7 linked regions of the Oryctolagus cuniculus genome follow. The protein of the gene in region 1 interacts with the protein of each later gene in a pairwise test. Links are inferred from orthologs where the notes say so. Each region holds a gene or a part of one and is shown in the gene's direction. Other genes may lie near its edges. The genes, in order: VAPA, APOD, ZBTB22, ADGRG7, OPRM1, CACNG1 and PGRMC2.

Region 1 (3,500 bases):
TGGTACAGACCATTTTTGCTCCACCAAACACTTCAGATATGGAAGCTGTGGTAAGTATGTAGGAAGTTGAGCAGAATTTATTTTGGGGAATGTTGTTTAAACGTTTTGTTTAGTTCGCAATGGAGAAAACTAATTCTAAAAATTTAAACATTGTTAGTCTGTTCATTACAGATGATCCTGAATTTCAGGAATGATTTTTGAAGTAGTATTTTGTGGAAATAATTAGCCGTGCTATTGTTAAAGAAGAAAGTGATGTAACCGCCAGTGATATCAGTGTGATTTCACTGGGTGGTGGTAGTAGATCTTGGGTTCTGTACAGGTTCTGTGACCTTAGCGAATGTCAGTGCCAAGGTGATAACTACAGAGGATAGCAGTGCAGTCCCCCGGAGCTGCAGGCTCTCACAGGTGCTTTCGAGCAGCTCTGCTCATCCTTTAGTTGTCCCTTGAGGTGAAACTTACCTCTGTGTTTAATGTTTGCTTTTATTTTAGTGGAAAGAGGCAAAACCTGATGAATTAATGGATTCTAAATTGAGATGTGTATTTGAAATGCCCAATGAAAATGATAAATTGGTAAGTAGAAAAATGTAAGGAAATTGACAGTTGTTGAGCTGTCAGTTACTTTGATTGAATTTGCTTCTATTTTTGGCCTTTCAGGTACTTAATGAGACTCAGTGCTCACTTGAGTTTTTAAAAACTTTTTTTTTTCTTTGCATTGTGTTTGTCCAAGAAGAAAAATGTCACTTTTAGGTACAAGCTGTATGATGGGGAAGAAACATTTATTTCTACCAGATTTATGCCACTAAATCACTTCAAATTCTTTTTTAGAATGAAACTGACGCTTGGATACATAAATATATTTAAAAAACAGTTATAAACTGCTTCTTGGCAGCTATGTACCAGCAGCAGTTTGGGGGATAAAAGATTAAATGGACAAGCAGTTTATTTTCCATGTTAAGATATTCCAAGGTATTTTGCTTACTTTATTGTTTTAGGTAAAAATGTACCTTATTTTATGCTTTAATGAATAGTTTTTGTTTCTTGTTGGTTAGTGTGAATGAATGTGAGTGAGTACCATTTGGGGAACTGAGGGATATAGGTGTATAGATAAAAAAAAAAAAAAAAGTTAGCCAGTAGGCTATGAACATATGGAGTTGGTTGTGGTTACTTTTCCTGTTCCTCTCTGCATTGTAAATTTGTTTTTATAAATCATGTCTGTGGTTTGTGGGAGGGACTTAGAAAGGTAGGATTATTTTTTTTGAGGGGAGGGGGTGATGCCTTAATATACACTATAATGTGGACAAGTAGAATTACTAGACACAGTTTGGTTATAATCTGACATGACTCTTGCCTTGACCTGGCAGTCATTTGAGCTATTGAAAAGAAAATGTACAGGTAAATATACAGGCCCAGTTATTATATTGTGTACACTGAATTGAAAAAGTCCCTGATAGTATTGGGTGTTAGTTGTTGGTCAAATTGTTTATTGAATTTTTAAGATGCCCTTTAAAATACATTTTGAGGCACTTGCCAAAAACAGAAAATGTGGCATGCTTAATACTTCACATTTGGAATTTTCTTTTTCCTAGATTGCAAGGAAACCAGTATCTTGTATAATTCTTCTTACTGGAACCAGGGAAACTTAAGACATTGTCTGGCTGTTTTCTTCCTTAGAATTGCTTATCTTTTTTTTTCTTTTAACCGTAATTTGATAAACGTAGTTAGATCTTTTATAAGGTTTTTTATAATGTTCTAAATAGCAGACAACTTGAGATTTTAGTCTGAAAGGGCTGGAACCCAGGTATTTGATACTGCTAATTAAGGGTAACTTTCATTGCTTTCGAAACCAGAAGTTGTTGATGAAATTGATAGGTCTGTGAAGTGGACACCAGCCATTTACTGCCTCATGGAGGAAAGTATATGCATCTACATACAGGTGTAATCCATAGTTAACCAAGAAAGCGGTTTGGGATCTGCATTAGTGCTTGAAAAATTACTGAATGGAGTTCCAGAGTGTCCCACTGTGGTGTATGACCAGTAGTGGTTTGGGGCCTGGAACCTTTTCAGAGCAAATATTATTAGTAACTCAAAGACTGTTCAGTAGCTTAGAAGTTCTCAAGAGAATATCTTACTCTGAGCTTTAATGAGCAGTATGTATTGTCACTGATCAAACCACTTGAATATGAGGCATATAAAATTGTAGAGAATATCTTCTGAAGATCATTTTAATTTTAAAAAGTAGATAGTTGGAAACATTTAGAAAAAAGTAAGCAAGAGTAGTGTGAACCTGTGACCAACTTTAATGATCACCAGCTTGTGGTTAATCTGAACTTCATTAGGTCCCACTACTTCCCATCTCACTTACTGTTTTAAGACAAACCCCAGAAATTACGTAATTTCATCAGTAATTATGAGAGCATTTCAAAAATTGATGGAAAAAGAATATTATGGAGAGGAGAAACTATGCCTGGATTTCAAAAATTTGCACATTAGAATAACCTTATCTTTTAATTCCATTTCCCACTAATTTTGAAACACTCTCATATTTTAGTTTATATCTTCCAACTTTTAAATTCATTTGAGAGACAGCAACCAAGAGAGTACTCCCATCTCCTGGCTCACTCCCTAAATCCCTGAAATGAATAGGGCTGGGTCAGGAGCCAGGAACTTTGCAGTGTAGATCTCCCCTTGGGTGGCAGGAGTCATCAGTGCTGCCTCCAGGGTCTGCATTGGCGGGAGGGAAGTTGGAATCAGGAGCTGAGAATTGAACCCAGGCACTCGAGTGTGGGATGCAGGCATGTTGGCATCTTAACTTCCAGGCTAAACACTTAGCCTTCTCAAAGGACTTTTAAAAGAGGGGATAAAGGAGTTTTTAATGATAGTACCATTAATACACCATTAAAAATCTGACATATCATTAGTATCAGGCAGCATTCAAACTTGCCTGGCAAATGTCATCAAAAAAGATTTATTTATTTATTTATTTATTTATTTATTTTGACAGGCAGAGTGGAGCAGAGTAGACAGAGAGAGAGAGAGAGACAGAGAGAAAGGTCTTCCTTTTTGCCGTTGGTTCACCCTCCAATGGCCGCCGCGGCCAGCGCACCACACTGATCCGAAGCCAGGAGCCAGGTGCTTTTCCTGGTCTCCCATGCGGTTGCAGGGCCCAAAGGCTTGGGTCATCCTCCACTGCACTCCCGGGCCATAGCAGAAAGCTGGCCTGGAAGAGGGGCAACCGGGACAGAATCCGGCGCCCTGACTGGGACTAGAACCCGTTGTGCCGGCGCCGCAAGGCGGAGGATTAGCCTATTGAGCCATGGTGCCGGCCCAAAGTTTTATTTTATTTTATTTTATTTTTTGTAGTTTGTTTGAATTGAGATGAAAATAAAATCTAAATATGGCTATGGGTGATAGGTTTCTTAAATCTCTTGAATTTATAGGTTCGAAATAACTTGATTCACTTATAGGCTTTCCCACAGACTTTTACTTGTTGTATCAGCATG
Region 2 (4,252 bases), on another chromosome or scaffold:
CAGGGGGCCAGAAAGAGGATGCAGCTGGGACCTGGCAGAAGGGGGCCAGGCCAAGGCCAAGGCCACATGATCATCAGCCTGGGCCTCGCACACTCGGGCCTTGACCCCAGACCTGCCCTCTTCCCATGGGTCTACTGGGAGGAGGACGCTGAGCTCCCAGGAGAGGCTGGCGGATCACTCCCTCGGTGTGGACAATAACGTGGTAATGGCCTCTTGGGACACCCACGCTGAAATAAGACAGGGCTTATGTCCCCGTTGGCGGTCACATCATTGAGAGGACAGCACAAGCTGCCTGGTCCCCGAGGTCTCAGGAGACCTGAGCCAGGCCTGGCCTCCCAGTGCCCGTGTCCAGTCCCCTGAGCCTTCCTTCCGCTGCTGCCCACGGGTGGCCATTCACAGCATGGCGTGTGCCTAACACGCTAGCACTGTTAACACGGGACCGCTCTGAAATCACAGATGGCTGGGACAGAGGGGTCCTTACTTGTACCTGAGCAGTTAGGCTGTGTCCCCCAGGCCGGGATGCTTACCACGTCCCTCGAGGCAGTCCCTTCGGCAGTCCCTTCGGCAGTCCCCCCACCCCTCCCCCGCAGGCTGCTGAAGTGGATCTGGGATGGGCCCTGCACTCATCCTCCTAGCCGCCTGTTCTTCAGCATGCCTGTGCTCTGCGGGATTTCTCACGTGTCAGCGCCTACTCTGCCTTGGGTGAATTGCAGGACCCCCCCCAGCAGTGATGGGCTGCCTAGCACATGGAGCTGGCAGGGTCCTGAAGGCACAGAAAGAGGAGCCACCGGAGCCACCTTCTGCTTTCTGGGCTTGCAGAGCTGGTACCTCCCTCCCTTCCACATGCAGCTCAGGAGGGGACAGAAGTGACCACCTCTACTGCACAAAGAGGACTCTGAGGCTTAGGGAAGCTGAGGGTTTGCCCAGGACACCACAGCAAAGCAGCTCTGGTTCCTACTCCTCTCTGCTAACTGAGCCCCACTCCGGTCCAGCAACCACATGGGGTGGAGTCCAGACTCTGTATTAGAAAAGGGAACTGTTGACTGTTCATTTACAGAAAATGAAAAATAAATACCAGCTGTTTGAAAACATACTGCAACTCATCTTGCTGGAATTTAAAAGTGCATCTGACTGGAAAAAATTAAATCAAAGAAGTCCACGTAGCAAAAAAGATGTTTTGAATGAAAATGTGCTTTCTCTCCCTGTCTCATTTACATACACACACACACACACACGCACACACAATAACTCCTTGTTTCTTCTTAGGAGAGCAGCTGTGAAGGAAACCGGGGGCAGGGGAATGGACACAACATCCCATCTGTGTTTCATACAGAGCTGGGCTTTTAGGCCAGCTCTCAGAACTGTAGGGGGTGTGGCATGCATGCAGATTAAGGCCTAATGACCCAATGAAGCTTATAAATAACGTGGGAGAAGCCAGTCACCAAGAGAGCTATCTCACGTCGGATGAATTCGTGGACATCACTCTCTTCTTGGTGAAAAAAAAAGGTATGTACCATAGTTAAGTTTTCATTTATGATAAATAATGCTTAAAATAGAAGCAGTCATGGTCTTTCATTGTTCCCTTTCAACTAAAATTCAGAACCACCGATCGAGGGCCTATGTAGTAGCTTTATGAACTTGGTCTCACTTTTTCTTCAAACTAACATACAAGGTAGGTATTATTAGTGCTGTTTTTCAGGTGCCAATACTGAGGCACAGCTGTGATAAGCATCAGGCCTAAGATAAGACCAAAGTCAATGTTGACTCACCCCAAGCCTTCTGTTTATGCTATGCCTTCCCCCTTGTGAATGAAACAATGAGACAATTTTCCACGCACCAGTACCGCACTAGATGAGTTCTCATGGAGTTATCCAACTGTGCATTACAGTGAAATTAAGTGAAACCTGGAACTAACTGTGGGAATAGAAAATGCACTTCACAATATGGCATAGAAATATTTCCTTCCATTCTTGTTGGAGTTGGTGGCCAAGTGGGTTTTTTTTTTTTAAAGATGTATTTACTTGTGGCAACATGTTTTATTTTGTATGTGCAACCTTAAAATCTGCAGCTCCCAGAGATACAGGACTGTGTCCACAGAAACCCCCACGCACCAAGAGCAAGGGCTCTTAGGAGAGCTGAGCTTAAATTCTGGCTTCGCGGTTTACCGAAGGGGAGGAACTGGGGCCATTATCTCCATTAGGACAAAGAGAATATCTGCAGAGATCATTTCCAGATGAGGTGTTGTAGAGACTCAGGGCAGAACACACTTAAAACACTAATGCCAAGCCCTCACCATGAAGAAGATCAATGGGTGTATGCAGAGATTCGCAGGCAGTGCCTGGTCCAAGATAGATGCAGTGTTGCCATAGTGGAATTACTTTTTAGTTATTTAATATTCAATTTAAAATAATATCCAATAAATTCTATCTCCTTTTGAAAGTATTTAAAGCTCTCATTTGGGCAAGAAAAATATAAGTGTATGTCGTATGCAATCTATATGTCATCCAAGGTCATAGGCATACCTTAATAACACGCTCGCTAAGTGTTGGGTGACCCCCACGGAAGGGGAATTGGAAAATGCTGGCGATGCTATCAATCCTGCATCTCACAGGGAGCTCTGACCATGGGAATTAAGCTACTGCAGCCAAGAAGCATCTTTGGGAGAGGTGCAATCAGGGGGATTAGTCTTGTTCTGAAATCCTCCCACAGAGCTAAAGAATATGTTCCAGCCCACCAGGAACGCTTTGTAATAAGACATTTGTCAGAATCAGATGGAGAACTGCCTTTTGTTCTAACTGTCACGTGCTGACGCCACATTCGTCTCAGGTCACAGAGGCAAGTGCTCATGGAAAGACAGCACAGGAGCGTGCACAGGAGGAAGCCGGGGGCCGAGGCTGGAGTCACAGCTTCTCCCCTCGAGGCCTCAGTTTCCCCATCCGCACACTTGGAAGACAGCGTGGGGGGGGGACTGGCTAGGTGCCCTCCAAGGCCCTGTCCATGTTGGGGGGAGTCTTGCAGAACATGCATAGAGTGGCCACCCTCTGCAGTTAGATTCTCTGTACAGGGCACTTGGCTTGGGTCTTCTGAGATGAGCCGCCGAGGTTCTGAGAATCTCTTGAAAATGAACACAGATTTCTGTGGGCTTGGGTTGCATTCCTGCAAGCCCATCATCCCTGAAAAGGTTAAAAGACAGGAGGCGTTTATTTGGTGGTGGGAGCGGATGGGGAAAAGGAGTCTCCCAGAGGAAGCAAGGTGGTGCCAGGCAGACTTCACTGGGGGGGGGGGGGGGTGAGGCTGGTGGGGGAGGGGGCTCTGCTACCACCCCTCCCCCACCAGCCTCAGCTGGTAGCTTTCCCTCATTACATAACCGTTCTTTTGAAAACCAGGCAAGGAAGCCTCCAGAAGACAAGCTATTGATTATTAAAGTTATCTGGAGGCTCCGAGGCTTGTAATAAAGTGGTTATAATTATGCCTGTTATGACACAGCCTTTTAAATGCTCAGATCTGAGAACACTGTGCATGCGTTGACTCAGTCAGCCTCATCCAGGGAGAGGCAAGGAGCTGGAAATAGCTCGTGGCAGCTTAGCTTAGCTACCGGCTAAGCAGCCACAAGGAAGGGAGGAAGCAGGAGTTCAAGGCCAGCAAGTGGGGGGAGGGGGAGAGGTTGGGGGCCGGGCATGATCTCCCTCCCCTAGCGGGCTAACCCTCCTCAGGACCCTCCGGTTGGAACACTTGGCTGCACAATCACCCATCAGCTGAAGGTCCTTCCCTGGTTAAATGCCCAGTGTCTATGAAAAATACTCTGAATAGAATGTCAAAAACAAGGAAGTTTGGGAAATGCAATAATGCAATCATCTGTAGCTGCCTTTCAACAACAACTAGGGATCCCGGAGCACTGAGACTGAAGTACTAGGTCATCTCATGGATTGCTCACAGCTATGAGTGTTAGTCCCACTTCACAGACAGCCACTGAGGCACAGATAGACCCAGGACACTACTGTGCAGCAGAGCCAGAACTCAAGCCCATTCGGGGTGACCCTGGAGGTCCCCCCCCCCAAAACATACACGCCCCGCTCCCTGTGGAGGTCCCAGGCCCACTCTCAGGCTGGCCAACAGGGAGGCCTAAGACTTCAAACCCTGCACACGATTTTGTTTGTTTAGCTTTTCCCTCTCACGGCTTGCTGGAAGGCTTCTCTCGCCCGCTTTACCTGCCGCTGCCCCACGCCGCTGCTGTTCCTTTCTGAGTCTGACA
Region 3 (3,931 bases), on another chromosome or scaffold:
TTCCCCTGAGGAGACGGACGTTTCCTCTTCCAGGAGGCACGCGGAGGAGCCCGTCACCACTGTCTTGGAGAACGGGGCAGCCGCGGTCACCTCCACCTCCTTCAATGGAGGTGTTTCTCCCCATGCCTGGGGAGGTGCCAGCCCCCCCTGTAAGAAGTCTCGGAAGGAGAACCGGCAGATAGCGTCCGGGCCTTTAGGAAACAGGTAACAGCGCCGGCGGGGGAAGAGGGAAGGAGCCAGAGGGATGCCAAGGGGCTCTCAGGCTGGACTCCCTCCAGCTCCAGCCCCGTGCCCCACTGTGAATTTGTTTCCGTACCCAGCTGCGTGGACCGGGAACGAGCCGTGCCTGAGAAGAACGGGAGGAGGAGCCGGCCCCTGCCCAGCCCACCCTCCCCGCTGGCTTCCACGGCCTCAGCCGCGGACTCCTCCACGAGGGTGGACTCTCCCAGCCATGGCCTGGTGACCAGCTCCCTCTGCAGCCCGTCGCCAGCCCGGCTGTCCCAAACCCTGCCGGCACAGCCTGCCCGGGCCAGCACTTACAAGGTAAGGGCGAGGCCCGCTGGTTGTCCCGCCCGCTCGAGCTCCCCGGGCGCGCGCCCTGACTGTGCCTCTGGTTCTCCGCAGACGAGCGTGGCCACGCAGTGCGACCCCGAGGAGATCATTGTGCTCTCGGACTCGGATTAGCTGCCCCGTCCTGCCTCCGTTCGTTCCGGGATGACAGTGGAGGGGGACGGGGGCGGGGGACTGAGTGACCCCTTCTGGTGGTTTCTTTTAAAAAATAAGCTTAAGTTTTACACAGAAACGTTAAAAACAATAAAATGCTTTTCTTACTGTATCCTGCCTGTTCCTTGTCTGCCGCTGAGGGCCGAGCTCCGGACTCGGATCTGCCCTTTCCTAGCCTGGCCCCTACACCGCTCTCCTGATGCCCCGGGTCCCCGGTGTCCGCTACCGAGAACTTTTTAAAAAAAAATGTGCTTCGGCCTCCTAACGCGCTTTACTTTCTCACTCCTAGCGGTAGGAGTAAAAGGCCAATCAGGGCCCGACTCGAGGTTATCTGGCCAATCCAGGCCCGGAGGAAGGGGGCGGGGCTTCGAGGGTCTGTCAGCGCTGGGAAGAGGACTCTCGGATCTCGCAGACCTGCTAATGGACACGGCTCGGAGGCGGGGCCTGGGGAGCGGCGGCCAGGACTCGTCGCCAATGGGAAAAGGCAGGCTGGTAAAATTAAAGGGGAAGGAAGACTTCGGCCGAAACAAGTTCCGAGTCTCCGGCGGAGGAGGGGGCCTGACACCTTTAAGGTGGGATGAGGCCACGGCTCTTTAAAGGAAAAGCAGCCGAGTCGGCCGAGTATTGCCCAGCGGCACGGGCGGGGTGCTTGTCTGTGCCTTTAAAGTCGGAGGGACGGGAGGCGGAGCGGAGGCGGAGGGCGGAGGGAGTCGGCGCAAGATGGCGGCGGGAGGGGCCCAGGCTGCAGCTCTGGCCGCCGAGTGAGGGGCGGGGGGGGCCCGGGGGCGCGCGGCCCGGTAAGCGGGGACGCGCGGGGTTGGGGGGCGCCTTCCGGGTGGGAGAGGAGGCCGAGGTAGCGCTTGGGGCGGAGCAGGCGGGGGCGGGGTCCGGCGGGGGCGGGGGTAGACAAGGGGCGGGGTCGAAGGGATCAAGGGGGGCGGAGCGCAAGGCAGGTTCAAAGGGGGCGTGGTTATAGGTGAGCTGGGGCGGAAGGGGCGTGGCCTCGGGAACTGGGGGGCAAGGGGAGATGGAGGTGGTGTTCTGTGGGGAGGCAGACGTGCCTTCTGTCGAAAAGGAAAGCACCAGACACCCAAAAGGTGGATTTTGGGAAGTCAGGCTCCCAGGGTTACAGGGTCTAGTTCCAAGAGAAGGCACCCCACTCCCTAGGAGCACCGTATTTCCCTAACCTCCCAGGAAAGGGCCCTGAATTCGGAGTCAGGACACCTGCATTTGCTGGCAGTGGCACTTGCTGGCTGTGTGACCTTGAACGATCTCTTAATCATTCGGAGGCTCAGTTTCCTCATCCACCAAATGGGTTGAGAGGCATATCTGCCTGAGTTGTGGGGAGTTACTCAGGTGACCAGTGTGAACATGTTTCTAAACGGTGAAGGGCTGTGTCGTTTTAAGGTCTTAGCGCTCTTCTCTCTTTTTTCTCCCCAGAGACCCCCCCGGCCGCCCTTCTCCTTCCTTTGTTCCTGTGGCTGGGGGGGGTATCCCCTCCCACCACAACATGGAGCCATCTCCTCTCTCCCCCAGCGGGGCCGCACTCCCCCTGCCTCTGTCGCTGGCTCCACCCCCGCTGCCCCTGCCTGCAGCCGCGGTGGTACATGTGTCCTTCCCCGAGGTGACCAGTGCCCTCCTGGAGTCCCTCAATCAGCAGCGGCTGCAGGGCCAGCTCTGTGACGTGTCCATCCGAGTGCAGGGCCGGGAGTTCCGGGCTCATCGGGCTGTCCTGGCCGCCTCCTCCCCTTACTTCCATGACCAGGTCCTACTCAAGGGCATGACCTCCATCTCACTACCCAGTGTCATGGACCCCGGCGCCTTTGAGACTGTCTTGGCCTCCGCGTACACTGGCCGCCTCAGCATGGCTGCTGCTGACATTGTCAACTTCCTCACGGTGGGCTCCGTGCTCCAGATGTGGCACATTGTGGACAAGTGCACTGAACTCCTCCGAGAAGGCCGGGCCTCTGCCAGCACCACCACCGTCACTACTGCTGCAGCCACCTCTGTCACTGTCCCTGGTGCCGGCGCCCCATCAGGGAGCGGAGGCACCTTGGCCCCCACCTCCGTGGGCTCCGGGCGCTCCCATGCCTCCAGCCGGGCCAGTGAAAATCAGTCTCCCAGCAGCAGCAACTACTTCAGCCCCCGGGAGTCCGCTGATTTCTCGTCTTCCTCCCAAGAGGCATTCACGGCTTCTGCCGTGGGCAATGGGGAGCGGCGAGGAGGCGGCCCTGTATTCCCAGCCCCCGTGGTTGGCAGTGGGGGAGCCAGCTCTGGGAAGCTGCTGTTGGAGGCAGACGAGCTGTGTGATGATGGCGGAGATGGGAGGGGTGCGGTGGTCCCTGGGGCTGGGCTCCGGCGACCCGCTTACACCCCTCCCAGCATCGTGCCGCAGAAACACTGGGTCTATGTGAAGCGGGGTGGGATCTGCCCAGCACCAGCACCCCTTGTTCCCCAAGACCCAGACCTAGAGGAGGAGGAGGAGGAAGATCTGGTGTTGACCTGTGAGGATGATGAAGATGAGGAGCTGGGGGCTAGCTCTGGGGTCCCATCAGGGGGAGGGCCTGAGGCCACCCTCAGCATAAGCGATGTCCGGACTCTGACGGAGCCACCGGACAAGGGGGAGGAGCAGGTCAACTTCTGTGAGTCCTCCAATGACTTTGGCCCCTATGAGGGTGGGGGTCCTGGGGCCGGGCTTGACGACTCAGGGGGGCCGACCCCCTCCTCCTACGTCCCCTCCCACCCCCCAAGAGCCCTCCTTCCCTTGGACATGCAGGGCAACCAGATCCTGGTTTTCCCGTCATCTTCGTCCTCCTCCTCCTCCTCCTCTCAGGCTCCAGGCCAGCCACCAGGAAGCCAAGGGGAACACGGGCCGACAACGCTGGGGGGCACGTCCTCCGCGGGGAGCCTGGGCGTGGCCAGCACCCCCGGGGGGACTGGCAGTGGGGACGGAAACAAGATCTTTCTGTGCCACTGTGGAAAAGCTTTCTCCCACAAGAGCATGCGGGACCGGCACGTGAACATGCACCTCAACCTGCGGCCCTTTGACTGCCCTGTGTGCAACAAAAAGTTCAAGATGAAACACCACCTGACCGAGCACATGAAGACCCACACAGGCCTCAAGCCCTACGAGTGCGGTGTCTGCGCCAAGAAGTTCATGTGGCGAGACAGCTTCATGCGCCACCGGGGACACTGTGAGCGCCGGCAC
Region 4 (4,165 bases), on another chromosome or scaffold:
CTGGGGAGTGAACCAGCAGTTGGAAACTGTCTCTTTTTGTAACTCTGATTTTCAAATAAGTAAATAAATCTTAAAAAAAAAAAAAAAAAAGCAGGGTTGAGGTCCAGGTCATGGAGGGCATGCCCTCAGAAGGTAGACTTCATTCTCGGGGACCCCTCAGGTTCTGTTACAACCGGGGCAAGCCTGGTCTCACCCGGCTCTCCGTGCTCTGGTTCCAGATGTAACCACTTGCCTGCTCGGGCATTCGCTCTCACCCTTGCCATGCACCCCCTACGTGATGCAGCCACCAGGTGGCCCTTGCCGAGCCTGCGCCATGCTGTTTGACCTTGGAGCCTCCAGAACGTGAGCTAAAGCAATCTCTTTTCTTCGTAAGAGATTTGACTCTGGTGTTTCCTTTGGGAGATGAAAAGTCGATAGATACAGTTGTCTTCTCCCTGTGTCTCTCCATATCCTCTAGGCACACGGTGTCCAAATTTCCTCTACTTACAAGGACCCACCATGTCGGAAGAGGGCTCTGCTCGTAATCTCATTTTAGCTTGATTACGTCTATAACAACCTTATCTCCAAAGAAGGCCACATTCTGAGGCACTGGGGGTTAGGACTTGAACGTGTGAATTTTGGAGGACTACAGTTTGCAACAGTTGGGTTCTAATGCTGGGTTTAGTGCCTTTTTTTTTTTTTTTTTTTTTTGACAGGCAGAGTGGACAGTGAGAGAGAGAGACAGAGAGAGAAAGGTCTTCCTTTGCCGCTGGTTCACCCTCCAATGGCCGCCGCTGCAGCCGGCGCACCGCGCTGATCCTGGCAGGAGCCAGGAGCCAGGTGCTTTTCCTGGTCTCCCATGGGGTGCAGGGCCCAAGCACCTGGGCCATCCTCCACTGCACTCCCTGGCCATAGCAGAGAGCTGGCCTGGAAGAGGGGCAACCGGGACAGAATCCGGCGCCCCAACCGGGACTAGAACCCGGTGTGCCGGCGCCGCAAGGTGGAGGATTAGCCTATTGAGCCACGGCGCCGGCTGGTTTAGTGCCTTTCAAAACTCACCTGGTGCCCATGTACCCATTCAACAGCCACAACTGTCAAAATGTAGGCTCCTTAAAGAAACACAAACACCAGAATGACACATGGCTGTTGCTGCTTATCCTCAAGAAGGTATTTGTGTTACCTGAAACATCTGCTGGTCTACCTTGGCCAGATCCTTTAAAGTAAAAGCACAGGCAGCCAGGCCATGGATGACCACCAGGATTCACTGCCTGCCTGGTCTCCTCTTCCTTTTTCTCATTTACTTTTCACTGCTGCTTGGCTGCATACTCACCCTTTGGCCCTCTTGGCTAGCCCCTCCCCTTCTGCTTTATTGCCCTAAGTTGTCTTTTCCCTCACTACCAGTTCACCTCTTTTCTCTTTCGCTGGAGGATGAGGATATTTGCAAGCAGACAATGCACCTTTTAGGAGGTGATTTGAACTCCCTCCTCAAACATCCGAAAGAAGGGGGACATCTCCCTCCCTGTGACGGAGCATTGAAAGGAGGGATGAGTTGCATTCTTTAGAATGGTTTCTGATTAAACTTCTTGACTTAAGGAGAAGCGAAGTCAGTTGCCTTTCCCAAAGGAGCAGATTTGTGGCTTGGCCTCACCATGGTTTCCTGCCGTGCCTGCAACCCCAGGCTGCTGGTGGCCCTTGTGTTTGGGCTGCTGATGACCATCGTTCTGGGACTGGCCATCTGGAGGCTGGTGATCAGGATCCAGAGAGGTAATGGCTTCCTGCTACAATTATCTCAGAGAGAAAGAAGGCATTGCGCCTCTGTCCCTGCTGCCTAACTGCCACTACTGGAAAGTTCCTAGTCGTTTGATGGCTGGAGGGTGGTTGTATATATGACGGTGTATGTGTGCCTGTGAATGGGAAAGGGGAAGGATAGCATGGTTGAATTGGCTTCTTTTTTAAGGAAAAGGGTTTATTGGGGGAAACCCAATAGACTATAGGGGAGGGGTGAAGAAGGAAAACAGAGAAGGAGAGTGAGAGAGCAAGAGACAAAGATCAGGAGGTGGAGAGAAAGAGAGCCATATGTTCAGGAACAGGTCCTTTTAAAACTTTGCTGGGGGGCGGGCAGGTTGAATTGGCTTCTTTATGCTCTTAACTCCTGGCCGAATTGATAGCAGAGTAATAACAAAAATCATTAGTAACACATGTTTTGGCTTGTTTGGCAAATTCGAGAAAGGTAAATAATTATGGGCATACATATGTACTTGCATACATGATCAAACGTGCAGAATGGAATTGTGTTTTAAAAAGAGAATCTTAGTCATCTTATGCTAAGTAAACTGACTTTATGGTTTACTCAAAATGTCTCACTTTCCAGGTGTAGAACATTACCCGAAAATTAAAATCATTAAACAATGATTTTTTTTTCTCCCTGGTGATTCAAGAAATATTTTCAGGTTCCCTGCTGTGTACCAGCAGTGACATGGGAAAGGCAGGCAAGGGAGGGGTAGTTATGTATGAAACAAGGATGTTCAAGAAAAACTCTGGGGAACTAAGAAACTCAAAAATCCCAAGGGTGGTTCCTTAGGTTGCAGAGGTTCTCCACGAAGGGATTCCACGTTGGGTGTGCTGTAGAAAGTTTCTACAGAGGCTGGGTAAGTAGGGGTAACACATGCCAGTCAAGGGAGCTGCAAGACAGGCATCTGAGCAGGAGGGTGGGGGTAGCAGGCAGGAGCACAACGTGTGGCTGCAAAGATCCGTCGCTGAGGACAACAGGGGTCAAATCCATTGACTGCTGATAGGGTGCTGGTAGCTGGGAATGGGACTGCCCCTCTCCCCTAAACAGCAATATTTACAGGATACTATATTAATAGAATTTAGAAAAGTAGAAAATGTGTCAGAATCAAAATAAGAAAATTTAAGCTCAGGAAAAATGTGATTTTGCTTGGATAAGGTTTGTGTAAAATAGTTTAATTCATATTTAAAAAATTATGAACTAGGTGTTTTGCCTAGTTAGGGCTGCTAAATTTGTGAGATTTCATTTAAGGGGTCCATATTTATGAAGTCTTTTCTTCCTTCTTTTCCTCTTACTTGTGACACCTAACTTATAAAAGACACAGTTACACGGGGCTGGCCCTGTTAGTGTAGTGGGTAAGGCTGCTGCTTGCAGTGCCAGCATCCCACTTGTGCACCGATTCAAGTCTGGGCTGCTCCACTTCCAATCCAGCTCCCTGCTAATGGCCTGGAAAAGCAGCAGAAGATGGCTCAAGTGCTTGGACCCCTGCAGCCACGTGGGAGACCTGGAGGAGGCTCCTGGCTGCTGGCTTTGGATCAGCCCAGCTCTGGGTGTTGCAGCCATTTGGGGAGTGAACCAGCAGATGGAGGATCGATCTCTCTCTCTCTCTCTCTCTCTCTGCCTTTCAAATAAATACATCTTTAAAAAAAAGATACAGTTACACTAAGTCTGATAAAACAAAGCCCAAAGTACAGAAACCACATAAGGAAGAGGGCTGGGTGAGAGAGGGAAGGCTATAATAGTCAAAGTTTATGGGGAGTTGCTTAAAATAAATACAAAAACATATCTTTGGGATTCCTGACCCAAAAGAAGAATAGTCAGTAATGAAAATCTTGATAGGCGCACACTAGCCCCCTAGAAGAATCATTTTGCCTTGCTCTGCTTTATTCAATTGGTTTTTTATAAAAAGAGCTCTCCCTCAGTTTTCAGGTAAACTTTCTTTTTTTTTTTTTTTTTCAGGAAAAGGAGACAGTTACCATTATCATTTAAAGAAAAAGACAAAGACTGGGTCTGTTTGTTGTTGCTACTACACCTTGCGTAGTTAGTACACAGAGCATCTTGCTGGGTACATTCTGTTCTATTCCATTTTATGCCCTTCTACTCACTGAGCTCCTGTCTACTCCACTGCTTTCTTCCCATCAAATCTCATGCAGCTGTTGAATGTTCTCACTTGGTCCCTATGTGGGATAGAGATGAATTGCTTTTAAATTTATTTTTTAATGGTGTGAGAGGCCCTGCATATTTGTGAAACTGTTGAGAACTATGAATGTCATAAATATAATTTTTTTTATTAGAGAGAGGGAACTCTTTCATTGATGCTTCACTTCCCAAATGCCTGCAACAGCCAGGGATGAGTTGGGGCCAAAGATGGATGCCGGAAATTCAATCCAGGTCTCC
Region 5 (3,954 bases), on another chromosome or scaffold:
ATTTCCAGTGTTTATGGCTAAAAGATATTTTCATGCACAGAAATGAGAATTACTGCAGAATTAGTGTTGGTTTTTTACAAATAATATTCTTACTGTATTTACATTTTTTTTAATTGGAAGAGCTCACGGACTTAAAAGTGAATACAAATTTTTTTAATGTATCATTGTTCCTCGAGAACATTTTGTGGGCTACTCCAAGCGCAGAAGTTTATGTACTTCCTCCTGGAATGTCTACACTAGAAAACGGAATGAAATAAAACAAAATTTGTTGGGTTTAACAGCCTTCTTCTGAAAAGTATACGCCTATCTGGTATGTTCGCAGATGGAATGTATAATCATTCTGAAAGGGTCTTGGAGACCTCAGATGTGGATCAGTAATATCTTCAGTTGACTTTTTTGCATGTCACAATCTACCTAATTCTATGGAAGGATGCAAATGGAACATCTATTCTTAGAGAAACTGAAACAATGAAAAATAAAGGGAGCAGGTTTCTTCCACAAAGTTTATTTATTTATTTATTTATTTTCATAGAGATCCTTTCTATGAAAATAAATAAATAAATAAATAAATAAAGGATCTCTCTGGGTACAGACAGGTTTGTAGAGTTGGAAATTTCAAAGACATGATTGTCTTCTGTCAGATGAGGCGATGTAGAGGAAAGAGGATCTTGTGCCCCCTACCTCCAATAATTGTGGTGGGCCATAGAGATGGAAGGGCATTGGGGCTCAAGGGCTGTTAGAGTTATAGCGTGCCAGTGTCTTTCCTCGTAGATTAAAAAGAGAAACCGGCGCTGGAAAAATGGAGATCTATCAGCCCCCTCGTTTATGCTTCCCTGCTATCAAAAGTAGCTCTGTTCCTCTCTGGCCACCCCTCCCCTCCAGCTCCCTTCCAGCTCCGCCCGCCCTCGAGGTGTTTGCTCTCAAGAGCGCGAAGGGTGAGGACCAACTCCTCCGATTGCTTTGCGCAAAATCCACCTCCCCCCTCCTCCTCCCCTCCAGCCTGCGGAGCCCGCACCGCCTGCCTTGCCCTCCTCAGCCCTGTGGTGCCGGGTTGGGATGAGCCTCTGTGTACTACGAAGGTGGGAGGGGCCACCAGCAGAGGATAATGTCAGACGCTCCGCTGTCGCCTTTTGCCTGACGCTGCTTTTGGCTCCGCGAGGCTGGTCCCGGTAAGAAACCGCAAAGAGCTGCGGCCGCCGTGGCCAGAGCCAGTGGCTGAAGCGCCCAGAGTCCGAGTCCCAAGGCTCCCGACTAGCTGGCCTCCCGCTCCCCAGCGCCGTCAGCACCATGGACAGCAGCGCCGTCCCAGCGAGCGCAAGCAATTGCACTGATCCCTTTGCGCACTCCTCCAGTTGCTCCCCAGCACCCAGCCCCGGGTCCTGGGTCAATTTGTCCCACTTCGATAGCAACCTGTCCGACCCGTGTGGACCGAACCGCACCGAACTGGGCGGACGCGACGGCCTGTGCCCCCCGACCGGCAGTCCCTCCATGGTCACAGCCGTCACTATCATGGCCATCTACTCCATCGTGTGCGTGGTGGGTCTCTTCGGAAACTTCCTGGTCATGTACGTGATCATCAGGTAAGGAGGGCGCCAGGGCTGTGAACGGGGAGTTCAGCGGCTAAAAGGGCTCCCAAAAGGCCCTTGCATCCCAAGACTAAGCGTGTGGTTGGGGGCGACCCCAGATGGAGCGGTTGCTGTGTGTGTTTGTGGATGGGGAGCTACTTTTCTATTTTTTTTCTTCCACTGGTAAAGAAAAAATCCAAAAATTCAGGAACAGAGAAGCTGTTTTGATAAAAGGCATAAAGCTCTGGGGGTGAGAGTTGGGGGAAAATGCTTCATGTTGAAGCTCTCCCTTGTACAGAGACAAGAAAACTCTTGGCACAGAGTCCTACGGTGGCTCCCTTTGCAAGAGCTATGGCATCATAAGTTGTGAAGAATGGGGGAGGACGTTTAGGTGTGTTTTTTTCCGAATTGGGAGGCTGAGTCCACTCAGGTGGCAACTTTCCTACTTTTGCTGGTACAGGAGGACTTCTCTGTAGACAGCCCCACCCCTGATCTTCACGTGTACCTATTCCTGCTTCCACCCTAAGGCCACATGAGGCAGAGGAAGTTTTCCTGGTATCTCTCCCTGGTAATGTCACTTTGTTACCTCCACCCTTTGCAGTTGACAGCTGTGGTTCTGCTACAGCAATTGCAAGCTGCATCTTGAGTGGGTAGGGTGGTTCAGGAGAACAGAATTGTTTTTCAGTGTCTCCACACATTGGAACAGATGAAGAGTGACCCATCATAATTCTCCATTAGAAACTGTTACATAGGAAGTTGTCATAGGCACTCTGGGAAAAAGAAAATGTGTCTTTAGTAAAATTATTTCGAAAGAATTTATGGTTTACTGTCTGTTTCCCAGATGTTCCAGCTTCATTAGACAAGGGGTGAGCAAATTTTCAATATTGAATGAGATTGATGTTGTTTGTGTTGGTCTTGATATGTATACCAAACACATCATGTGAATGTGGAATACTAAATATTCACTTTTTAAGAAGTAAACAAATATTTTTAGCTGTTTAACATAGTTCCTTAGTAAGGCTTGTTTCTTCCCATTGGGGGTTGTAGGTATGCAGCCAATGTGTCATTTTCATATTTAGTTACAGTGTTTGCTTCACCTATTCAGCAAGTATTTCGCAGGTTTCAGTGGAGTACTTGAATCCTTTAACAAATAATCACTGTTCCCATTATGCTTTCCTTAGCAAAGTGCTGCAAATTGCTTGTAATTGACTTGTCCTATTTATATGCCTGATTTCTTTAATTAATGTTTGTTAAAAAGTAAAGCTAATTTCCCTGATACTTTGATAAGCAATAAAATAAGAAAGTGTCTCTGAGAAAAGAGCACCATCTATTGAGTGGACAGCTAACAACAGAAGGAAAATTTCAGGAAAAGAATCAATGAAAGAATTTATTTTAAAAAAAACTGCTTTCTGTAATTCAATAAAAAATTCATATCAGAGAAAAAACTAGTCTTATTCTGCAATTACGACAATAAAAAGTATAATTGAAGGTCTACTCTTAAAAAAGAAAATGTTTCTCATTTATCCCTTTAAAAATCACATAGACTGATAAAACTAGAATGACTACAGATTATCTTTGCTCTGTGAATAAAAGGTAAAGAAAATATAAATGATTCCTCTTAGATATCACTATGCTCATAAATGTGTATACATGAAATTTGTTCACTTTATATAAATAAAAAAGTTGAAAAAAGATACCACTGAACCAATCTTAGCTAGCATAATTTTCTGTTTGTTAAGATGACAAACCATGATTTAAATTAGCCAACTACTAGATTGACAGAGTAGATTTAGTCAGCAGTAATAATGATAGAACAATAAATTATCAAAAATGTATATCTATGGAATCCTGGAGCAAAAAACACGATATAAATTACTGAGACATCTATAAACTCCACCATCTGAATCATGATCTTTTATCCCCTTTCATTGCTTCTCCTTAGCATTTTACTCCCTCCCCCCACCCTCTAGTTTATTCTCTGCTATAAGGAGACATCCAATAGCACAGAAATAGGCTGTGAAATAAACAGATTGGCTTTATTCCAGTGTTTAAGAGGTTGTTACTTGGGTGAGTTTGTTTTAAAGGCATTACTTCTGGCTCCTTGTTGACTTGGAGAAACATGGTGACATTGCATCTTACTGAGAACGTGATATTATGCTTTCTTCTCTGTACTGAAAGTTCTGAAAAAAATGCAGTACTCTTTTAAATGTCACCCCAAACATCCACCTGTGGTAGGTTGAGTGTTTAATTCCAAGGTCAGATAACCCTCTGAGGATTTGACTGTGAAACAGAAAACTAGGCAGTTCAATGACAAATGATGTGATGGGAAGAGCATCTAAGGATGGAAGAAACTGTGTCAGTTTATCTGATATTATTTAACTGACTGCCT
Region 6 (4,049 bases), on another chromosome or scaffold:
CATCAAACCTCTCAATAAGCATCTGTGAAGGTTCTGGGAGGACCTAGAGTGAGTGCCTCACAGCCTCAGTGACCTCAGCCTCCGAAGCTCAGAGCAAACCCATCCACCAGTGGTCTGTGAAGAACATGCTGACGCAGCCATCCTGGATCCACCGCCCGCCATGCCGCCAGCCCAGGGCACCACAGCCAAGTGCTGTTCTGGAAGCCGGGAGCCAGCACAGTCAGGTTCTGGTGAGGGCTCTCTTCCTGGCTTGCAGATGGCAGAGAGGAAGCAAGTGAGCTCTCTGGGCTCTCATCAGGGCCCCAAGCCACCACTCTTACCAGACCACCCCCCAAAGGCCCGCCTCCAAACGCCATCCCACTGGGAGCTGGCACATCACACCACCCCACTGTCTGGGCCGCACTGTCTGCTGGAAGAGCTGAAACCAGGACAGAATCCGGTGCCCCAACCGGGACTAGAACCGGGGGTGCCGGCGCCGCAGGCGGAAGATTAGCCTAGTGAGCCGTGGCGCCGGCCTGCATTTAACTTTGTAAGTGAAAATACAGCCAGGAATCTTTATGACCTGCCTGGAAGAGGAGGCGGCGCTCAGAGCAGTTCCATAGAAACAGTGGTGCCGCTGAGTCCAGCTGTATTCTCCGGGCCTCTCTCTGTCTCTAAGGGCGGTTGTTCCAGCACACGTTCCCTAGCCCTGAACAGGGACAGGAACAGGAAGAGAAGTGAGGAGGTAGAGGTGTTCTCATAGTGAGGTCACAGTTGGCTGAGGAACATGCATGCAGATTCCCAGGCCTGGGCGGTGGGGCTGGGCTCCTGTGCGGGCTCAGGCACTGCGTGGGAGGGGGCTCCAGAGGCCCTGGGCAGAGGGCCCTGGGCTGTCCCTAGGCAAGACCCTGGGTCCCCTGACTCCCCGGGATGAGGACCCCATCTTGGCAGCTGGCTTGCCCAGTGTGAGACCAGGAAGCAGCAGGGCCTCCCCGGGGGCCCTGTGCTGGCTTAGCAGGACCTCTGCAGCCAGAGCAGGTGCATCACCCGACACGAGGTGGCCCATCCCTCGCCCCCGTCCACTCCAAGTCACTCTGTAAAGCCTCCTCCTGCCCCACCCTGGCTCCAAGAGGGGAAGAAAGCGCTGAAACCCGAGCAGACGCCGTCCTGGGCCCTGCTGGAGGCATTAATAGAAGCCTCGCTCAGGCCCCTGACGTGTCTGGCAGCTGCTCAGCCCCAGCCCGCGTCTCCCAGCCCCAAGGCCGGCCCACTCTGGCTCAGCCGGGCACACTAAACTTAGCTTCCACCCCCAGCTCCGGAGCCACGGCCACCACCCTAGCCGGGCCGCCACCTGCACGGGCAGGCGCCGCCGCCAGACCCTACCTGCAGCACCCACCCCTCTGCAGCCGCCATGTCCCCGACGGAAGCCCCAAAGGTCCGCGTGACCCTCTTCTGCATCCTGGTGGGCATCGTGCTGGCCATGACGGCCGTGGTGAGCGACCACTGGGCCGTGCTGAGCCCCCACATGGAGAACCACAACACCACCTGCGAGGCCGCCCACTTCGGCCTGTGGCGGATTTGCACCAAGCGCATCGCCCTGGGCGAGGACAGGAGCTGCGGACCCATCACCCTGCCTGGGGGTAACGTATCCATGCCCTGTCCCCTCTCTGCCTCCTGCCTGTCGCAGGTGCCCCGGAAGAGGTGCCCGTGGGAAAAAAGGCAGGTTTCTCTGCCTCGGGTCCAAGCAGCACCCCAGCCCTCCCTGCCCAGGGCAGACAGAGCTGCGCATGGCACGGCCATGTACGGAGGGCTTACGTTTCCAGCTATTAGAACATGGGGCCATGCGCCCAGAGCAGACAGCTGCACAGATGGGACAAGAGGCCCAGGACGAAGACGCAGGTCCACCAGACCAGGGCCTCTGGCTCAGCAGGGGTCACAGCCCATGTCCCCAGGCTGGGTGGCCGTGTGCCCCCAGCCCGGCAGGTTCATTGCTCAGTGCCCAGGCAAGGGTGCAAACAGGGCCAGCTCCAGGGTCTGCAGTGCCTCCTGCAGAATGAAAAGGCAGGGCTCCTAGTTTCCGGCGACAAAGCGTTTCAGGTAGGCGGCCGCAGGGTGTGGGGCGCTTCTGGGGTGGGTGTGACTGTGCAGGCTGCACCCCTGGAAAGTGGGATGTGGCAGCATGCAAGCCGGCTGCCTGCTCGTGGGAGCCCACAGACCTCCCGGAGGGGCCCCCTGAACTCAGCTCTCTCAGATTCCAAAGTGTCCCCTGTCCCACAGTGTCACCCAGCCACACGCTGCAGGTGAGCCCTCGGTCCAGGACGTGGGGCGTGAGCAAGACAGATCCCTGGGAAGAGTGTCGGTTCTGCACGTGTGGGGCCCACGGAGTTCCAGTGAGCAGAGCGTGTGCCAGGGCAGCGGGTGCTGTGCGGGGAGCGGAGGCCTGGGCCCCAGTCACGCGCTAGCCGCCTGCTCCCTAGAGGAGGCTTCTGGGCAGACAAAGCCCAGCTCAGCTCCTCCTGCTGCCTCTTCTATAAAACAGGAGACTTGGTCTCAGCCACACACGATCCCTCCCAGAGCTCACCAAGGTCCCTCCAAGGCGGCAGCCGGCCAGGCTGTGAGTGACACCGTCCCACCTGACATGCGTGTTCAGAAAGGGCGTCCTTTAAGGCGGGTGGCGCTGAGCCCCCAGAGGTCTTGCAGTCTGCCCAGCCCCTAGCCCCATGCCGCCCTTTCCTCCCCCTGCCACTTGCTCCAGGGATCCCCTGCCCCGCGTGCCCCCGGGGGGCGTGCAGAGGACTCGTAAATCCTCAGCTGTCTTGGAAACGCTGAGTCCAGGGCTGGGAGCTTTGACAGGCGTGGGCATGTGCTCATGGGCTATCGCATAGCGCAGATGCTCATGCCCTCGGCCACCGCTGAGCACGCCCGTAAACACACGCCTCCTCCAGCCAACTCCCTTGGGCAGGGCAGGGCGGGGCAGGGCGAGGCGGCTCCTCCAGGGACACTGTCATGGTCCTAGCTGCTGTCCTTGGAGCCATCTGCCTTTTAAAGTCAGAGCCGATGAGCAGGGCAGCGGGCAGAGTCCACACAAGGAAGAGACAGACTGGCCAGAGGTGACCAGGCCAGCCCCAGGGGACCGACACTTGGCCTTGAGCCTGAGCAGCGTCCATCTCTTTGGCCTCTCCACGCCGCCCCCGCCCCAGGCGTGAATCATGCACTTGCGGCACTCAGCACTGCCTTCCCTCCAATAATCCTCCCAAGCATGTCCCCCCGGCCTTTTTCCTCTTTTGCAAACAGATGTCTGCTTCCTTCCCAATGTACCTTTACCTTCCTTAATCTCCTCGGGACCACCGTTTTCTGGAGCGAGTTCATACATCTCTCATTTATTTGTTATTAACCAAAGCAACAACAAAGGCACGCAAACGTAGCACTGTGTGCATGTATTGTTGTGAATGCTTTTCCTAAATTCACTTGAAATGACGTCAGAAAAATAGGACAGAGTAAGGCATGCCTGCCCCCAAATCTTCCCCATAAAAGCCATGAGGATTCTGGCAAAAATTGACAGGACACTGGACATTAACCAAATCTCACAGAATTCCAGAAAAACAAGGGAAGCTCAGGAGGAACAGAGACTTGCCCATTCCCACGCACCCTCCCCAGGTCTGCCGTGGCTTCAACATCTCACAGTCATCACCAACATAGCAGCCCAACAGCCACTGAGGGGGACAAATGGCCAGCTTTCTTTTACGGCTCTGTTTTCAGAGCGGTCATTGTGCGACCTGTCCTGTGGCTCCCTGCAAGTCCCCACTTACAAATCGCCTCTATCTGACCTGGCTCTGAGCTCTCCAGTGCCACCAATCTTTCTCCCAGGGAGCATTTGTTGAAAACAACTGGAGCCAACTGTGTAACATCATGGCTTCTTGAGACAGCACAAAACAGTTGGTGCTAATAATGGGATAGCCCAAACGCTGGAGGATATGATGTCCGTTGGCAGCTTTGGAAAGTTCCAACATATTCCTGGGCACCTCGAAGGCCTTGTGCATGCACGGTGCTGCCAACAGGCTCAGGAGAGA
Region 7 (4,289 bases), on another chromosome or scaffold:
GAGGTGGGTGATCAACTGCCAGAGGCACACAGAAGGGACACATGGCAGAGGGCCCAGACCCCAGCAGGCTGGGCCTCTTTATATCTTTGGTGGGCTAGAAGCTGGGGTGGAGGGCAGTAGGTGGAGGTGTGTTTCCCCACACAGGTTCAAGTTTGGCCCACTGGCTACCAAACTTGCGTTAGAACCCAGAGGGTAGGGTGGAGAATAATAGGGCGTGAGACTTAACTGGCCTCTTGAAAGCAGGCAGGAGTAATGTGACCCTAACATGGCTAAGGCTTACGTCCTTGTTCCAACACTCATCAAACCAGGTAGTCTGGGAAGGCTCAGAGAACACAAAGAGCAGACCCAACAGGAAAGAGGGCAAGTAAGTCACGTGCATGAGACAGCAGCACCAAGAAAGAAGCTTCAGGAGTGACTATGTGGGGTTTCCAGGATTTGAAAGTACAAAGGACACCCCAGGAACAAAACTGTACATAAAACTAAAGCGAGGGGTCTGCGCCCGTGGCATAGCAGGCAAAGCCACTGCCTGCAGCGCTAGCATCCCATACGGGCGCTGGTTCCAGTCCCAGCTGCTGCACTTCTGATCCAGCTCTCTGCTGTGGCCTGGGAAAGCAGCAGAAGATGGCCCAAGTCCTTGGGACCCTGCACCCACACAGGAGACCCAGAAGAAGCTCCTGCCTTCGCATTGGCACAGCTCTGGCCATTGCAGCCAATTGGGGAGTGAACCAGCAGATGGAAGACCTCTCTCTGCCTCTCCTCTCTCTGTGTAACTCTGACTTTCAAATAAATTAATTAATGGAAAAAAAAATTAAAGCAAACACAAGGACCACGCCAGCCCATCCACATCCAAAGTGCCACAGATTAGGATCCAGAGAAAAACTAAACGGTTAATCTCAAGTAAGAGTTCTACAACAGCAACCTTGAGCAAAGCCCAAGGGGAGCGGCTGCTTGGCGCCGCGCAATCGCCACCGAGACTGCCGATACCAGGGAAGTCCAGGGCCAGCTCCTCGCCTAAACTTCTGGATGCTGTCCCACCTCCAGGGCCACGCTCCCGGGGGAGCAACAGACATCTCTCATCGACTTGCTCCCAGTATTTAAGATCGCGCCGAGGCCGCCCACACACCACCTGCGCCGGCCCGCCCCCAGGGCCGCCTCCGCACACGTGAAGCGCCCGAGCGCGGCGAGAGCAAAGAGGCGGGAGTTCACGGCCGCGAACCCAGGCCTGGGAAGAGACGCGAGCCCCGCGCGCACGCGCACAGCAGGGAGACGGGGGGCGGGGGGAGCGGGCCTCTCCGAGAGGCTGCTCTGGAAAGGAGAGCGCGTGGCGCTCCGGCATCGGCGCACGCGCTGTGCCCTTGCCCCGCCCACACGCGCGTGCGCGCACGCGCGCTGTCGGCGCAGCATGTTTTTCTTCAGATCCGCCCTCCTCGTCTGTTTCACAGATCCGAGGCGAGGAGCGAAAGCGGGGAAGTGTGGGGCGAGATGGGCGGGGCGTCGCACGCGAGCGCGGCCTGCAAAAGAAGGGAGGAGGGGAGAGAGCCGAGACAACGTTACCCCGTCAACACCCAATCAGGAGGCGGCCTGTCCCCGCCCTCTCCCCTCACGTTATTGGCTGGGAAGTCCCCCCTCATGGGCGGGGCCGGCCTGGGGTTGGGGAGGGCAGGGGGCGGGGAGGAGGAGGAAGGCGCTGGCGGGCAGTGATGGCGGCGGGTGATGGGGACGTGAAGCTAGGCACCCTGGGGAGTGGCAGCGAGAGCAGTAGCGACGGCAGCAGCGAGAGCCCAGGCGGCGCGGGAGCAGCAGCGGAAGGGGGCGGCTGGGCGGCGGCGGTGCTGGCGCTTCTGACGGGGGGCGGGGAGATGCTGCTGAACGTGGCGCTGGTGGCGCTGGTGCTGCTGGGGGCCTACCGGCTGTGGGTGCGCTGGGGGCGGCGGGGTCTGGGATCCGGGGCCGGGGCGGGCGAGGAGAGCCCCGCCGCCTCTCTGCCTCGCATGAAGAAGCGGGACTTCAGCTTGGAGCAGCTGCGCCAATACGACGGGTCCCGCACCCCGCGCATCCTGCTCGCGGTCAATGGGAAAGTCTTCGACGTGACCAAAGGCAGCAAGTTCTACGGCCCTGGTGAGGAGGAGTTGGAAAGGGAGAGGGAGGACCCCCTGTAGTGCAAGCACGACTCCCCCTTCTGACGGGGAGGCCCCTGGGCACCAGGTTAGTTCGCCCAGTCTTCTTGTCGCCTGGACCCTCGCGCCTGGGCTGCCTCACCTGGGACGGCCCTCCCCCCACACGCCCCCTGCTGCGGACGCCGTCGGCTTTCCAGCAGGTCGGGGTCCCCCTGGGACCCCAGGGACCAGCTCTCAGCGTTCGTCTGTCTCCCATTCCGTCTCTCCTCGCAGCGTCTTCTTCAGCCGAATTTTGCAAAATCCTTAAATAGTTGCCTCCAGCCGAACTGGCCCTCCACCTTTCCTGAGCTTTCTAATTCCGGGGATGGGTGCGGGCTGGAGGGAGGGAAGATTTCTAAAGTAGGGATCTAAAGTTCCGGCCTTGGTAATTCACACTTTTTTCTGCCACTGATCCGGCTCCCTTTCTGCCTACCACTCCTCATAAGGCCACGTTTAGGGACACGTAATTCCCAGTCCCAGCCCTTCCAGGCTGTGAAGTCCAGACGTATAAGCAACGTCTTTTAAAACCAGTTTGCGTTCTGAGATGCTTTCCAAGATTAACAATGTATGTGGGATGAGGACCGTCGGAAAGGCAGATCTGATTAAAGATGGGCAAGGATATTCGCCCTTAAGTGTTGGGGGCGGAGCTCATATACCCAGCAGGCGCGCCTCTTTTTTTTTTTTTCTTCTTTTCCTCTTATTTCTTTTTACCTTTTTGACTTTTTTTTTCCTTTTTTGCTGGTAGGAAAGCGAATATTCAGATTCAAACAAGGTAACAATGACCGATGTTTTCAATTACCAGAACTAAGAAAAAACTTGGAAGAGCTTTAAATCCCGCATGCACCAGTTGAAAATTAAATATTTTTACAGTTTGCTTTCAGAAAAGTGTGTTCATTTCGAAGCTCTTCACAGTGTAGTTGTAGCATGCATTTCAGATCATGCTGATAAACTTCAGACTTAAGGAACCTGTTGGTATTCCATAGAATTGAGCAACATTGTACATCCTGGCTGTGCAATGATACTTTGAAAAAAGTGACTACAATAAGAATAAATAATAAAGTTAGAGACTTAAAGTGACTTGTTATTAGAAAGAGTACATCGACCCCTTAAAGTCAAGGGGCTGGCAGTCTAGGAACAAGCTCATTTCTACCTTGGTCTGATCTGTTAGGCCATGAGATTTATTGACACTTACAAAATATATTTGATTTCAGTGCGTGCTGCATGGCAGGTATTTTGGAAGTACTTTGGTTTGTCGTTTAATTGGAAGATAAGAAATTGGAGATTTTTGGTGTTAAAACTATTGAATTTGTTTCCTAGTTGTATTCCTGTTTGTTATGCATTCTGTCCAACTATAGATTGCATATAAAGTATTTGTTTTTGTTTATATATGAATACCAGATGTCTGTTCCTTGTATCAATTCAGATAATACTTATTTTTTATACTTAAGGGTATGTGGGACAAGTGAAATTTTATCTCAAGGATTTACATAGTATGTTCCTCCTAAAGTTTCTCCTGATTGATATTACAGAGTGTTCAGTGATAAGAAATGGTGTGTAGGTTTAATTTCTTAATACAGAGCTTACCCAACTAAAAGCAAAATATTAAGTGAAAGAAGTGTATTAGTCCCCACACTTTATGATTTACCACTATCTGCAGATAGTTAGAAGAGACAGTCATACACTCAGTTTGGCAGCCTCCAGTGGCAAATGTTTTGTGACAGAAACTAAAAATTAAGTGTCATAGATGTTACATTGGTTGCTTTTGTGAGGCTTGAGTTTCAAGGGGGCTATCAGATAGCAATGAGGAGGCCACTTTTTGATAGCTTCCACCAGCTCCCAGGTCCTGATGAGCAGCTTGAGTGTTATTTTATTCTAGGTATTGATCAATAACCTAATAGAAATATTTGGAATATTTTATTATTGAAAAGAACCTGCAAGGTAGCCAGATAGCTAATAGGGACTTAAAATATGTTGATGTTTCACAGTAATAGAAACTGTAGTAACACTTTACCAAAAGTCTTGAAGCCAATTCCTGGCTATGAAAGAGCTGTAAGTTCAATTTTGCTCTTATTTTCATCCTGAAATAAATTAAACAGTTTTGTAGCAAAATTATTTAGATGCAGCATGCTGTAT

Evidence for each region.
Region 2: the proteins of VAPA (region 1) and APOD interact in binary tests that used the Homo sapiens proteins (3 or more experiments, as listed by UniProt). The two-hybrid records come from large-scale screens. The link is inferred for Oryctolagus cuniculus from reciprocal best matches to the Homo sapiens genes VAPA and APOD.
Region 3: the proteins of VAPA (region 1) and ZBTB22 interact in binary tests that used the Homo sapiens proteins (3 or more experiments, as listed by UniProt). The two-hybrid records come from large-scale screens. The link is inferred for Oryctolagus cuniculus from reciprocal best matches to the Homo sapiens genes VAPA and ZBTB22.
Region 4: the proteins of VAPA (region 1) and ADGRG7 interact in binary tests that used the Homo sapiens proteins (3 or more experiments, as listed by UniProt). The two-hybrid records come from large-scale screens. The link is inferred for Oryctolagus cuniculus from reciprocal best matches to the Homo sapiens genes VAPA and ADGRG7.
Region 5: the proteins of VAPA (region 1) and OPRM1 interact in binary tests that used the Homo sapiens proteins (3 or more experiments, as listed by UniProt). The link is inferred for Oryctolagus cuniculus from reciprocal best matches to the Homo sapiens genes VAPA and OPRM1.
Region 6: the proteins of VAPA (region 1) and CACNG1 interact in binary tests that used the Homo sapiens proteins (3 or more experiments, as listed by UniProt). The two-hybrid records come from large-scale screens. The link is inferred for Oryctolagus cuniculus from reciprocal best matches to the Homo sapiens genes VAPA and CACNG1.
Region 7: the proteins of VAPA (region 1) and PGRMC2 interact in binary tests that used the Homo sapiens proteins (3 or more experiments, as listed by UniProt). The link is inferred for Oryctolagus cuniculus from reciprocal best matches to the Homo sapiens genes VAPA and PGRMC2.

The regions. Positions count from the first base shown.
Region 1 is NC_091441.1:67,108,054-67,111,553, forward strand, and holds part of VAPA (vesicle-associated membrane protein-associated protein A), read left to right. Parts: coding exon 1-50; intron 51-489; coding exon 490-570; intron 571-3,500. UniProt on the Homo sapiens protein: Endoplasmic reticulum (ER)-anchored protein that mediates the formation of contact sites between the ER and endosomes via interaction with FFAT motif-containing proteins such as STARD3 or WDR44.
Region 2 is NC_091435.1:84,039,770-84,044,021, forward strand, and holds the start of APOD (apolipoprotein D precursor), read left to right. Parts: upstream 1-1,452; 5' UTR 1,453-1,505; intron 1,506-4,252. UniProt on the Homo sapiens protein: APOD occurs in the macromolecular complex with lecithin-cholesterol acyltransferase. It is probably involved in the transport and binding of bilin. Appears to be able to transport a variety of ligands in a number of different contexts.
Region 3 is NC_091436.1:135,808,029-135,811,959, forward strand, and holds the start of ZBTB22 (zinc finger and BTB domain-containing protein 22), read left to right. Parts: upstream 1-1,131; 5' UTR 1,132-1,143; coding exon 1,144-1,295; intron 1,296-1,406; exon of another isoform or gene 1,407-1,520; intron 1,521-2,163; coding exon 2,164-3,931. Other genes in the region: DAXX (death domain-associated protein 6), read left to right, coding at 1-204, 321-543, 625-684. UniProt on the Homo sapiens protein: May be involved in transcriptional regulation.
Region 4 is NC_091435.1:55,159,989-55,164,153, forward strand, and holds the start of ADGRG7 (adhesion G-protein coupled receptor G7), read left to right. Parts: upstream 1-1,365; 5' UTR 1,366-1,628; coding exon 1,629-1,743; intron 1,744-4,165. UniProt on the Homo sapiens protein: Orphan receptor.
Region 5 is NC_091436.1:13,656,068-13,660,021, reverse strand, and holds the start of OPRM1 (mu-type opioid receptor), read left to right. Parts: upstream 1-1,154; 5' UTR 1,155-1,287; coding exon 1,288-1,580; intron 1,581-3,954. UniProt on the Homo sapiens protein: Receptor for endogenous opioids such as beta-endorphin and endomorphin. Receptor for natural and synthetic opioids including morphine, heroin, DAMGO, fentanyl, etorphine, buprenorphin and methadone.
Region 6 is NC_091448.1:13,144,179-13,148,227, forward strand, and holds the start of CACNG1 (voltage-dependent calcium channel gamma-1 subunit), read left to right. Parts: upstream 1-1,249; 5' UTR 1,250-1,390; coding exon 1,391-1,619; intron 1,620-4,049. UniProt on the Homo sapiens protein: Regulatory subunit of the voltage-gated calcium channel that gives rise to L-type calcium currents in skeletal muscle. Regulates channel inactivation kinetics.
Region 7 is NC_091439.1:36,456,585-36,460,873, forward strand, and holds the start of PGRMC2 (membrane-associated progesterone receptor component 2), read left to right. Parts: upstream 1-1,489; 5' UTR 1,490-1,700; coding exon 1,701-2,118; intron 2,119-4,289. UniProt on the Homo sapiens protein: Required for the maintenance of uterine histoarchitecture and normal female reproductive lifespan. May serve as a universal non-classical progesterone receptor in the uterus.